Cricetulus griseus: one gene and its partners. The protein of the gene in region 3 interacts with the protein of the main gene of each other region in a pairwise test. Links are inferred from orthologs where the notes say so. Each region holds a gene or a part of one and is shown on either strand. Other genes may lie near its edges.

What was found.
Region 1: the proteins of Pknox1 (region 3) and Pbx3 interact in a two-hybrid assay, tested with the Homo sapiens proteins (2 studies listed by BioGRID and IntAct). The link is inferred for Cricetulus griseus from reciprocal best matches to the Homo sapiens genes PKNOX1 and PBX3.
Region 2: the proteins of Pknox1 (region 3) and Pbx2 interact in binary tests that used the Homo sapiens proteins (3 or more experiments, as listed by UniProt). The link is inferred for Cricetulus griseus from reciprocal best matches to the Homo sapiens genes PKNOX1 and PBX2.

What each region holds. Positions count from the first base shown.
Region 1 is NC_048599.1:146,090,126-146,093,866, reverse strand, and holds the start of Pbx3 (pre-B-cell leukemia transcription factor 3), read left to right. Parts: upstream 1-1,318; 5' UTR 1,319-1,411; coding exon 1,412-1,611; intron 1,612-1,850; exon of another isoform or gene 1,851-1,991; intron 1,992-2,446; coding exon 2,447-2,520; intron 2,521-3,741. Other genes in the region: basic proline-rich protein-like, read left to right, coding at 435-637, 671-1,094. UniProt on the Homo sapiens protein: Transcriptional activator that binds the sequence 5'-ATCAATCAA-3'.
Region 2 is NW_023276806.1:231,203,784-231,207,524, reverse strand, and holds the start of Pbx2 (pre-B-cell leukemia transcription factor 2), read right to left. Parts: upstream 2,784-3,741; 5' UTR 2,474-2,783; coding exon 2,253-2,473; intron 1,466-2,252; coding exon 1,392-1,465; intron 1,167-1,391; coding exon 919-1,166; intron 829-918; coding exon 638-828; intron 481-637; coding exon 345-480; intron 226-344; coding exon 72-225; intron 1-71. UniProt on the Homo sapiens protein: Transcriptional activator that binds the sequence 5'-ATCAATCAA-3'. Activates transcription of PF4 in complex with MEIS1.
Region 3 is NW_023276806.1:259,896,967-259,900,707, reverse strand, and holds the start of Pknox1 (homeobox protein PKNOX1), read right to left. Parts: upstream 2,814-3,741; 5' UTR 2,659-2,813; intron 1,707-2,658; exon of another isoform or gene 1-1,706. UniProt on the Homo sapiens protein: Activates transcription in the presence of PBX1A and HOXA1.

The DNA of each region.
Region 1 (3,741 bases), on a different chromosome or scaffold from region 3:
CCAGACCTGGCTCCAACTCCTAGCACTGCCTTCTGGGTTACTATGGCGACCGCGGGAGGGGCGGGGCTTTGGGATCCTCTTTCCCGGTCTCAGCTCAGGACTTTCGAACGCTCCAATTGGGACAACCCTTTCTTGACTCTGTCCCGCCTCGTTCGGCGTTGAAAGCAAAACGATTGGTCCCGGGCTCGCGGCCTTGTGCCCAGAGGGTACCACCTCTTGACAGGAAGAGCGGGAAAGTGTACCAGGCACTGTCCGAGGCGTGAAGCTCACCTCACGCAATGGGTGACCACGCGGTTGGCTTTGGGGAGACTATCCCGGCCCCCATATACCACCTCCGGATCCCTAGCTGTTAATGATAGGAAAGGAGTAGAAGCCGGGAGGCCCCACTTTGCCGGTCGGGGCTGTCCATCTGCGGAGCGCGGGCGCGACGAGGCATGGGATTCCCGGGCGCGCTCTCTCGCGCCCCACTACCGAGGCCAGAGGGGACGGTCCCAGCCTCGGGGGCGGGGCCTGTGGCGGCGGCGGGAGGTGCAAGGACCAATGAGCGCAGACCCCGCCCCGGAGGCGGGGCATCCGGAGCGCTCCCCCGCCCTCTCGCTGGCCCCCGCCCCTCCCCCCGGCCCTGGCGCCGCAGTGAGTGAGTGGCACTGGCAGCCTGTCAATCCCTCAGCCGAGCGGCCTTCGAGCCCCGGTCCGCGGCGGCTGCTGGCTGGGTGCGCGCTCCCGGAGGTCGGCGGCGACTTCTCCCGCCTCATCCATCTGCTGTCCCCGGCGTGCGCCCGCCGGGCCCTCCATCGGGCTCCGCGCCCCCCGCCGCGTCGACGGCCGCCCCCAAACTTCCTCCTCCGCCCCTCGTCGCCCCGCGGCCCGCCCGTCGGCCTCCTCCCTCCTTCGTCGCCGCCGCGCCGCCGCCGCTCCCTCCCCGGGGCCGGCCGGTGCTCGATCCCGCCAGCTTGAGGCGGCGGCGGGCCGCTGAGGGGAGGGGACCGTCAGGCTGGCGCGGGCCGCGGCGGCGGCGGCCGCGGCGTCCCGACAACTCGGCTAGCGCTGAGGACCAAGTTCGCGGGGCCCGCCCGGCGCGGCGCGGGCGCTGAGGAGGCGGCGCGGCGGCCGCGTGAGGGCAGCGGGCACCGCCGCCCGCCTCCGCCTCGGCCAGTTGCCGCGCGAGCGCGCCGCTTTCCGCCCGCCGCTGTCCTCAGTCTCCGCCGCGGCGGAAGCCGGAGCCGGACGCCGGTCCGCGTCCCCCTCGGTCGCGGCCTCGCCGGGCCGGCCGCCCTCCCCCGCGGGCGGGAGCGCGCGGCCGCCTCCCCTCCCCCTCCCCCTCTTTCTTCTCCTCCCTCGCCACCGCCGCCGCCGCCGCCGCCGCCTCAGCCTTCGCCTCCGCCGCCCGCTCCCGCCCGCGCGCGGCGGGATGGATGATCAATCCAGGATGCTGCAGACTCTGGCCGGGGTGAACCTCGCCGGCCACTCGGTCCAGGGGGGCATGGCTCTGCCGCCTCCCCCTCACGGCCACGAAGGGGCGGACGGCGACGGCAGGAAGCAGGACATCGGCGACATCCTCCACCAGATCATGACCATCACCGACCAGAGCTTGGACGAGGCGCAAGCAAAGTTGGTGTCGTCTCATTAAGCATCTTTTGTGTGTGTACGGGAGCCGGGCTCGGGTCCCGGGTGGCTCCCTGGACCGGGGCCTCAGTGGCGGGCGGGAACTTTCTCCGCCTGCCAGGGCGGGCCTGCCGGGCACTCGCGGTGCCCCCATCGAGCGGGCAAAGTTGCTCTCCGGGCTCGGGACAGCCTCAGTCGGTGCTTCGTCCGTGCCCTGCTGCCCGGCCCCCTCCTCGGATTTAAACCTCCCGCCCGGACTCGTTGCGCTCTGCGTCCCAGCCAGCCCCGGGCCATGCCGCAGAGAAGTGCAACTTTCTCTGCCGGCCCAGACTCACGGCGTCCACTCCCCTCGGCCGGGCCCGGGGTGACCCGCGGCTTCCCCGCAGGTCCGGGTGCGGAGCGCCAAGTTCTCTCTAGGAGGGAGGGCAGCTTTGCAAACTTTGCGGAGCTGTCATCCGCAGATTATCTGGCGGCGGCCGGCCTCCGCGCCCGCTCCCCTGCGGAGCTCTGGCGTGGGGTTCCCCTCCGTGCCGCCCCGGTCCCCGGGGTCCCCGCCGCGATCCCTGGAGCGGAGCCCCCAGCACGGGTCGTCCCTGCGTTCGCCGAGGCTGATGTGTCGGCCCAGCATATGGGTCGCGCTGCTTTTGGGCTGGAGTTCTCACCGCTAGAGCTTGCCTCCAGTCGCGAACTAGTCAACTTGAGTTTTTGTTGACTTCCCGCGGTTCCAAAGAGCTTTTCCACCCCGGGGCCCAGTTTTAAATCTTTGGTCTAACTTAGGAAGTCGCCATATTATTCCAATAGGTGATGCTAACACCTTTGTGTTTTGCTATTTGTTTTTTAGGAAACATGCTCTGAACTGTCACAGAATGAAACCGGCGCTCTTCAGCGTCTTGTGTGAGATCAAAGAGAAAACAGGTAAGACTGCTGCCAGCAGTGGGCCTGGAGATCCCCCTTCCCCCCAGGTGGGGTTAGATCTACTCGTTGGACTCACCAGTTGAGAGCTGCTGCTTTTGGGCACCGCCATCTTTGATCATTCTCTGCTTCCCACCTCCTGATCTTGAGAAAAAAACTGCAATAAATCTGGAGTCTATTTCTCAATTCTGCTTTGATGCAAAATGAAGTATATGTGTGAAAGGGGCTGGTTCGCAGTTCTTTAGGCGGCAGCCCCTGACTGAAGTCAGGGAGGGGGCTCTAGTCAGCCGCCCTCTATTTCTTTTTGCCTTGTTTGTGTAGCAGTTTTTAAAGGGAGCAATGGGAGACTTCCAGGGACCAGGTGCCCGTGAGAGGCATCACCAGAACTTTGTTTTACTTAGACAGCCTTAAGCTTTGGTTCTAGTGGTAGAAGATACAGCAGAACAGACCTCAGTATTATGTCAGTTTTAGGTGGGGAAGATTACTTTTAAGAATTCAGGAAGGAAAATGATGTGCTTAGGCGTATACAATGTATCATACTAATGAGTACTTATATAAAATTGTCTATCTTGCAACTGTTAACAGTTGTAACTGAGTTTCAATATATAAAGAAAAATGTCCACAGATACAGATGAAACAATTTTGATGTTCAAGGCAGGAGTAGATGAGATGATAGGTTTTGCAGACATGCTAGCATGAAAATTGCAGATACATGATTAGGGAAATTTTTGGCAGTTCATTTTGGTTTAATTTTCTTGTCAGATTTTTTCTATTAAAGGTATTTTTACTTTTGACTTAATGGTAAAGCTAAAGTAGAAGTAGGGATATAATTCACATGTGTTAGTTTGTGTTTAGTTATCTTTCCTATATGGCAAGAAACTCCCTTAATTAAGCTTTACCATTAATTTATTTATTGTTGTATGTGTTGGGTGTATCACTTTTTAAAGTTGTTCTTTTGTAAGTTAAGGGAAAGAAGAAAATGTCAAGTCCAGTATATCGCATTTTCCAACTGATGTTGTTTTAATAGTTAAATGTTTGACTTTTTAAATTGAGTTTACAAATAATTGCAAACTGTCTAGAATTGTTAGGCTGGTAGTTGAGTTATACTCTGTTTAAATAGGTACTATTCATATTCCTAAAAGTAATGCAGAGAAGATAATTATTAGTAAATCTTGAAAACTTTATTTGCTTTTCATTCATGCCATGGATTTTTTTTTAATGATA
Region 2 (3,741 bases), about 29 Mb from region 3:
CCCTCATCACCCCCAAAAGTCCTCCTTGCTGTCTGCATCAAATCAACCAGCTGGAATGGCAGGGGGCTCACCCGCAGAGGAAGGGGGCGTTGGGGAGCTGGTGCGGCTGTGGCCCCCCTGGGCGACTGACACAGCGGTCTTCACAGCATAGATATTTGCCTCCTCTTGGAACTTCCCGATATTTTTCTTGTAGCGAATTCGTTTGTTACCAAACCAGTTGGAAACCTGCAGTGTTGGGCAGAGAGGGTCAGGCAGAACCCCTTTCTCCAGGACCCCCTCCCCAAGAACACCCGAGAACTCTCAGCCCGTTACTCGCCGCCCCGCGCCCGCCCCCAGCAGAGTACCTGAGAGACGGTGATGCCACACTTCTTGGCGAGCTCCTCTTTGGCCTCCTCACTGGGATAAGGGTTACTCAGGTGGGAGTAGAAGTACTCATTCAGGACCTCGGTGGCCTGTTTGCTGAAGTTGCGGCGTTTCCGTCTACAAAGAGAGAGGAGAGATGAGTGCGCCACGGGAGTCCGGGAAGCACCGTCGTCATAGCGTGTCCCCGTCGGGCAACATGGGAGCCCCGCAGCCCTGGAGAGGTATGGGAGGCAGCCGGGTGCTGGGGCCGGGCTCAGGGGTCCCTGAGCCCCACCTGGCGTCCAGGAAGCGAGAACGCAGGATCATGACGGCCTCGCAGGTGCTCTGCTTCAGCTGCATCTGGATGGCACTGAATTTGCGATGTATGATGCTGACCATGCGCTCCATCTCCTTGGGGGCCACGGGGCGAGTGCGGCTCTGCTCCCTCAGCAGGTTCATGACGTGGGTCGTGAACTCATTGCATGCCTGCAGGGGCGGGTGGGCCGGTGAGGGGCCTGTGGCTTGGGGCGGCCTCCAGAGTGCACGTCTCTGGCTCAGGGGGCCTCCTCTCCTCACCTGCTCGTACTTCTCCAGCTCCGAGTGGTAGATGTGTCGGATCTGGGCGAGCTTGCTTCGGTAGTCCGAGTGTTCGATGGAGTTGTCAGGGGACACGCCACCTCCGGAGGCGGCGGCCGCTGCGGCTGCGGCTGCAGAGCCGCCCCCCTTCTCTGGTCCAGCCACACCTTCTGCCAGGAGCATGTTGTCCAAGCGCATCAGCTGCGGGTCCACGGGCTCCTCCTCCTGGGAGCTCCGGATGCTAAGGCCTAGCGGGAGGCAAGCGGACACGTGAGGCCCCCAGATCCCCTCACCCAGCGTTCCGGGCTTCGAGAGTCCCTCGAAGGCCCAGGCCTCCAGGCTTCGGTTCCGTCCCCTCTCCTTTCCGAGCAGCCTCCCCGGGTCTCACTTTCCTCACGGCGGCGTCAAACTCTGAGCCCTCAGCGAGCAGAGTGCAGTCCCCAGAGGTGAGAGCCAGAGGGGCGCCCACGTACCGGTTTTCTCCTTGATTTCACACAGGACACTGAACAGAGCAGGCTTCATTCGGTGACAGTTTAGGGCGTGTTTCCTTGGGAGGAAAGGGAGGAGAAGAGTTCAGGGGCCAGGAGAGGAGAGGCTGCCAGGGGACAAGGTGGGGGCATAAAATCTGTGGAGGTGGGAAGTTGGATGGGGGTGGGACGCGGCTGGAGGGGTAGTTCCTGAGGAGAGACCAGCTGCCCTAGCTCCTGGAAGCGGCTGGCCAGGGGAGGCAGAAGATGCAGGCAATGGGGCTAAAGTCACTATGGGCGGGCTGAGGCCAAGGGAAACGGTTCAAGCAAAAAGGTGGAGAGAGGATCGAGAGATGGCTGAAGAAATAAAGGTGACGGGGCAGGTTTTGGAGTCAGGGAAATAGAGGCCGAGATGGAACAGTCAGTACAGGGTGGCCGGGGGCCCAGTGTGGGGTGCCCCCCGACCCGGGAGTTCAGGAGAGTGTGTGAGCCAGGCAGAGGGAAAGGCTGTGAAGACTTCTGGAGGCCCCAACCGCGGTGGAAGGGAGTGTGTGGAGACCCTGGATCCCCAGAGAAAGGGGCGGTGGGCTAGCTGGATAGTTAGCGCAGACGGGTGGGCTGACAGTTTCTGAGTCTGGGAGCCAGGAGAGGGGCCGGTGTGGAGTGTAGGGGTCAGCAAGAGGTTAGGAGAGAGTGAGGCCAGCTAGGGTTCCCTGTGTGAGGTTTAGGGCCTAGGAGCAAAGCCGGCTTGGAGAGACCACTAGAACTAAGGAAAGAAAGAGTTGCCGGGTCGAGAGCGGGCCCTGGGGGAGGGGGCTTGCAGCGGACCCAGCGCTGTGAGCGGGGTCCCGGGGTGGGGGCACTCACTTGGCCTGGGCCTCGTCCAGGCTCTGGTCGGTGATGGTCATTATCTGTTGCAGAATGTCCCCGATGTCTTGCTTCCCTCGGCCTCCCGGGACCCCCCCACCTCCCCCACCGGGGTCTCCGGCACCGGGAGGCTCGCCAGGGCCCCCGGGCTCCCCACCCACCAGCCCCAGGCCCCCCCGGCCCCCGCCCGGAGGGGGCGGCCCCAGCAGCCGCTCGTCCATCGCTGGGGGGGGCCCTGAGGCCCCCTCCCTGCTCGCCCCTCCCGCCGCCGGCGACTTCCCCCCCAAACTCGCCGGGGCCGCTGCTCCCTCCGCCCCAACCCCGCCCGGCAACCCGCCTCCCGGCTCCCTCCGGGGGTTCACCCCGGCGCTGGAGGGGAGGCCTGGGGTGCCGCCTGGGCACCCCCACAGGAGACCCCGGCCCCCGGCGGCGGAGAAAATGGAGCCGGAGAGAGAGAGAGAGAGGAGGCCCAAGCGGGGGTGTGTGTGCGAGAGGAGGGAGGAGGGAGCAGGGGGAGCGAGGGAGGCGGCTGGGGGAGGGGAGCGGGAGGAAGAGGAGGGGAGGAGGGGAGGAACGGGGAGGAGCCGGGGGCGGGGACACGCAGGCCGGGCGGCGGGCGGCCGGCGGCGGCGGCGGCGGCGGCGGGTGGAGGCGGGGAGCGGCCGGGCGGCCCGGGCGGGAGAGGCCAGGCTGGCCCCGGGGCGGGCGGCGGCGCGAGCGTGCGAGCGTGCGAGCCGAGCCAGGCGGGGCGGAGCCGGGCGGGGCGGGGCGGGGCCGGGGGCGGCGTGGGCCACCCGGGTTCCGAGCCCACCGTCGGGGTGGCGCGGACTCCGGCCGCTGGAATGCTCTCCGACGGCTCGGTTCATATTTCTTGTTCTAATGACTCCCCTCCCTGTTCGACTTAATTAAAACCGGGAGACTGGGGGCTGGGGGGATGATTAGGGAGGTCTCCAGCCGCTGCTTAATGAGCCAGTAATTAACCAGCCAGGGAGGGGACTTGGCCTCCGGCCAGCTCGCGGAGAGCGGCTGCCCCAGGCCTCACCGACCCACCTTGCACACCCAGCCACCCACCCCCAGATACCAGTCTTCAGTGCAGAGGGGAATTAAGTTTATTCACACAACCAACACATCGGGCAGACTCAGCAGCAGCAGCAGCAGGGTGTGTGGGTGGGGCTGAGGTTCGCTTCAGGGCCTCTGGGCTCCTCGGCCTTGGGGCTTGGGGTGCCAGTGCTGGGCGGTTGTCTTAATCTTTCCCCTTTTTCTTGCTAGGCAGGAGGGGCAGGCCTCAGTCCTCACACCCCGTTGAGTAGCTTGACAGCTCAGGATAGAGACTCTTGAACGGTCTTGGGGAGTCGTGTCCACCCTACCTTGCTCGTTTTCAAGGTTAGGGTACTTGCCCCCTGTCCAGTTCCCTGGGAAAATGGGTCTTCAGTCTCTGGCACCCCTGCCACGCAGGGTTGAAGGCTTGCGGGGGTGGCCCAGCTTTGAG
Region 3 (3,741 bases):
AGGAGGGAAGAAGGGCCTGTTTGTGGCTTGACACATCAGGATGAACACATTCTATCAATTCCAGAGAAAGGCCCAAGACAATAAAATCATCTGGGGTAGGGATGTTCCGAATCCACTTCAGGGCTGTGTACAGCAAGAGCTCTACCTAGTGGTTTTCAAGATTCTGAATATACTACAGCTGTTCTTCCTCAACCCCACACCTCCCTGGAAATACTTGGAATTAGAAGCTGCTCCACCCTTTTCCCATGCTCCCAAGGCAGTCCTAGGAACCACAGACCACCACAGAAACAGAACTTTTCAACCACAGGCCAGCCACCACACTGAATGCCTTTTGCAGAAAATTCCCAGAAACAAAAGCTGACAAAATGAACAAGGGGCTGCAGCAGGCTAGGTACCTAGCATCCTCTTGGTCATGTAACACTTTGCCTTTGTGGACAGGCCTGAGGATGCTTTGCACCAAATGACCGTCCGGCCCAGACTGTGTTCATTCTATCGGTCTCCACCATCAACGTTTTCTATATGAAGCGTACTTCACTTTATACAAGATCCGAACAGAACTTAGGACACACTGATTCAACACGGCGAATCCGCCAAAAACTTTTACCCTCAACCAGTATGAGGCCACACCACTATATCAGGACATCAAGTCCCCATTCCATTACTTGAATTACTTGTCACCTCCACCACCAAACAGCAGTGTGTGTGTGGGGGGGGGGGTGCAGGGCGGACATCCATCCATATTCCTAACAAAGATAGTTGAATGTACATGGGTTTCTAATGAGGACCTTTTAAACTAAGTATCTGAAACTTTCAAAAACAAAACCAAAAATATCTGCGGTAGCTCCCAGGAATGCTCCAGCTCTTCGAGGAGGAAGGCAGACAGTATGATCAGGAGATCTAGAATGGCCAGTGTGGTTATATGTCCACAAAGCCTCTGAGTTGTCACAGAAACCTCGCCTCATTCCCAAAGGAGTTGGAGGCTCTGCTCAGCCTGGCTACACAGTGAGTTAATCCAGGGCTGAAAGGAGACTCTCTCCACTTTGGGGCGATACTTTTGATAGCTATTTCAACACGGCTGGTTCTCTGTTTGACCCTGGGAAAGTTACAGCTCCTGGATCCACACTTTGAACTTTGGCAATTTTTTTTTCCCCTCTTGACAGTTCTAGCTTTAACAATAACCGATCAAAATCAAGCTTGTAACTGAATGTTACTACTCCTATAGTGACTTTGTTTCCACAATTCACAATAAGGACTTTCCTAAAGTTAGGCTACAAGACCAAAGAAACGGAACTAAAACGTAAACCTGCGGCAGCCTGCATCAGAGACTGCGGGGAACGAGCCATCCTTCCAGCCATGCTTTCTCAATTCTGAAGCACGCGGACCTCTCTTAAGGTGCCTGCACTCCCGCTGGTGCCCCTGGTGACAAAGTTTGCCAGGCTTTTGGCGGCACCTCACACAATGGTGGATCTTACTGCAGCGGGATGCTCCAGCCGCACAGGCCCCGGTCTGAGAGGGGCCTGCTGACTCCTGCATCACCTGGACCCCACCTGAGCAACCCAAGTGTGCTAGCTAGCTAGCTAGCATCGCATCCCCGCCTCAGCCAAATCCTTCCTCCGAGAGCCTTTAGAGAGAGAGCTCATTTTTCTAATGCCATGACAGGAGGCCTGCTTTAGGGGCGGGCTCTTCCATCCTTTAGTGGAAAGCACCCACATCTAAAACAAAACAAAAAAAAACAAAACAAAACAAAAACACAAAAACAGTCACTTCTGCAAGAAGCTCCCGCGGGCGAGGCCGACACCTAGGTAGCTCGGCTCTCCCGAATCCCAGGCGGGCGCTCACACTTGGGCCCCGCGGCCCGCGCTCCCGGGTGGCGTGGCGGGACCCACCGCGCCCGCCAGGCCGCGGCCGGAGGAGCCCGGAGGAGCCCGGAGGGAGCCCCGGGGCCGGCGGGCTCCGTCCTCCTCAGTCCTCGGCACCGCTTCCCTTCGCAGCAACACGCGGGGCAGCGACAGCGGGCCGAGCGCTCCCCAAGACGCTACTCCCGGTGGGCCGCGGACACGCGCGACGCGCTGTCACCGCCCGCGGACTCCCGCGGGAAGCCCCACGCGGGCTCGGGCCGCCCCGGAGGGGCCGCGGACCCCGCCGCCATCTTCCTGCCTCGCCGCCCCCGGCCTCGGCCTCGCGCGCCCCCGCCGGCCCCGCGCCCCGCCGCGCCGCGCGCGCGCGCTCCGTGAGCGACGGTTAGGCGCGCGCCTCGAGCAGGCCCAGCGCCGAGGCCCGCCCGGCCGCCTTCCAGAAATTTCCGCGCCCCTGAAATCCCCCCCCCACAACACACTCACACTCACTCACACACACACTCACACAGGAAAACCAGCCGGGCGCGCCCCGCGCAGCGGCCCGCCGCGGCGCCCCCTCCCCAGCGGCGCTCCCTCCCCCGCCCCCGCCCGGGGGCGCGGGTCAAGTGCGGCCCCGGGCACGCCCGCCCGACCACCGCCGCCCGCCGGCCGGGCGGAAGAGCGGCGGCGGAGGCGGCGGCGGCGGCGGCGGCAGCGGCGGCCTCGGCCGGTGTGATTGATAGGGACGGCGGCGGCGGCGAGGGCGGCGCGCGGCGCGGCGGCGGCGCGGCGGCGGCGGCGGAGCGGTTGAGTGACAGCTTACCTGGGTGCCAATCTTCATCACACTGACAAGCGGCTGCAGCAATCGGGACCCGCAGTGCCGCGCCCGCGTCCAACCGTCACGCCGACGCTGGGCCACGCGACACAGCCTCGCTCAATGGGAGGAGGGCGACGCCGACGCGCGCCGCATCAATATGCACCTCGGGGGCGGGGCCTGCAGGCCCCGGGCCCCGCCCCCGCCCAGCGCGGCGGCGGGCGGAGGGCGGGGCGCGGCGGGCGGGGCGAGGCAGGGGCGGGCGGGCGCGGGTGGGGCGGGGCAGAGACCGGTCCCGCCCCGCCGCGCTCCTTCAGCCAGGCCCCACCCAACGGCCCCAGCCCCACCGCGGGTAGCGGCCCGCCCCGCCCCAGAGGCAGAGCTTACCATCTTCATGACTATGCAACGGAGGCGGGGCTCAGGTCGCCGTCGGCCACGCCCCCCTCTGCGCCCGCCTCCGCGTCTGGAGAGGTTTGCCCTGCCGGTTGGAACCGTCTATCTGCGGCTCTGGCGGGGAGTACGGGCCGTACCATCTGAAGACCCGCGATTCCGGGGCCAGCTCCAGCCTGTGCGGCGCCTAAGAATCCAGATTCTGGAGTCGGGTAGGCGCGGGGATCCGCGGGTGGTGCCCCTTTGAGGACTGAGCGCCTGAGGTGTCTGCCCTGGGATCTGGCCCTTGGGTGCTGTCTGCCGAGCTGTTCCGCCACCCACTGACCATGATGTCTGGGCAGTGGCTACGTACTGGCCGCCGGTCCGCTCGTGGCTTCACTGAAAGACAGATGGAGGCCCTCGGTTAGCCTGGCTTGTCTAGGTTCATTTATTTTATCAAGCAGTGGCCACCTGTGTGTGTGTGTGTGTGTGTGTGTGTGTGTGTGTGTGGTGTGTGTGTGTGTGTGTGATCGTTGCTTTGCATCCACGCACAGCTTAAAGAGAGCGGTTCTGCTAACCCCACACTCCTCAGAAGGAACCTTGTACGCCAAGACTGGCAGCTGGAAGAGCCATGGGGTAGACCCCCCCATTCACAGCTCAGAGGACTTGCCCCTGTGTCCTCAGGGCTCCACAGATCCCGGGAAGCAAGAGCATTGCGCTCTT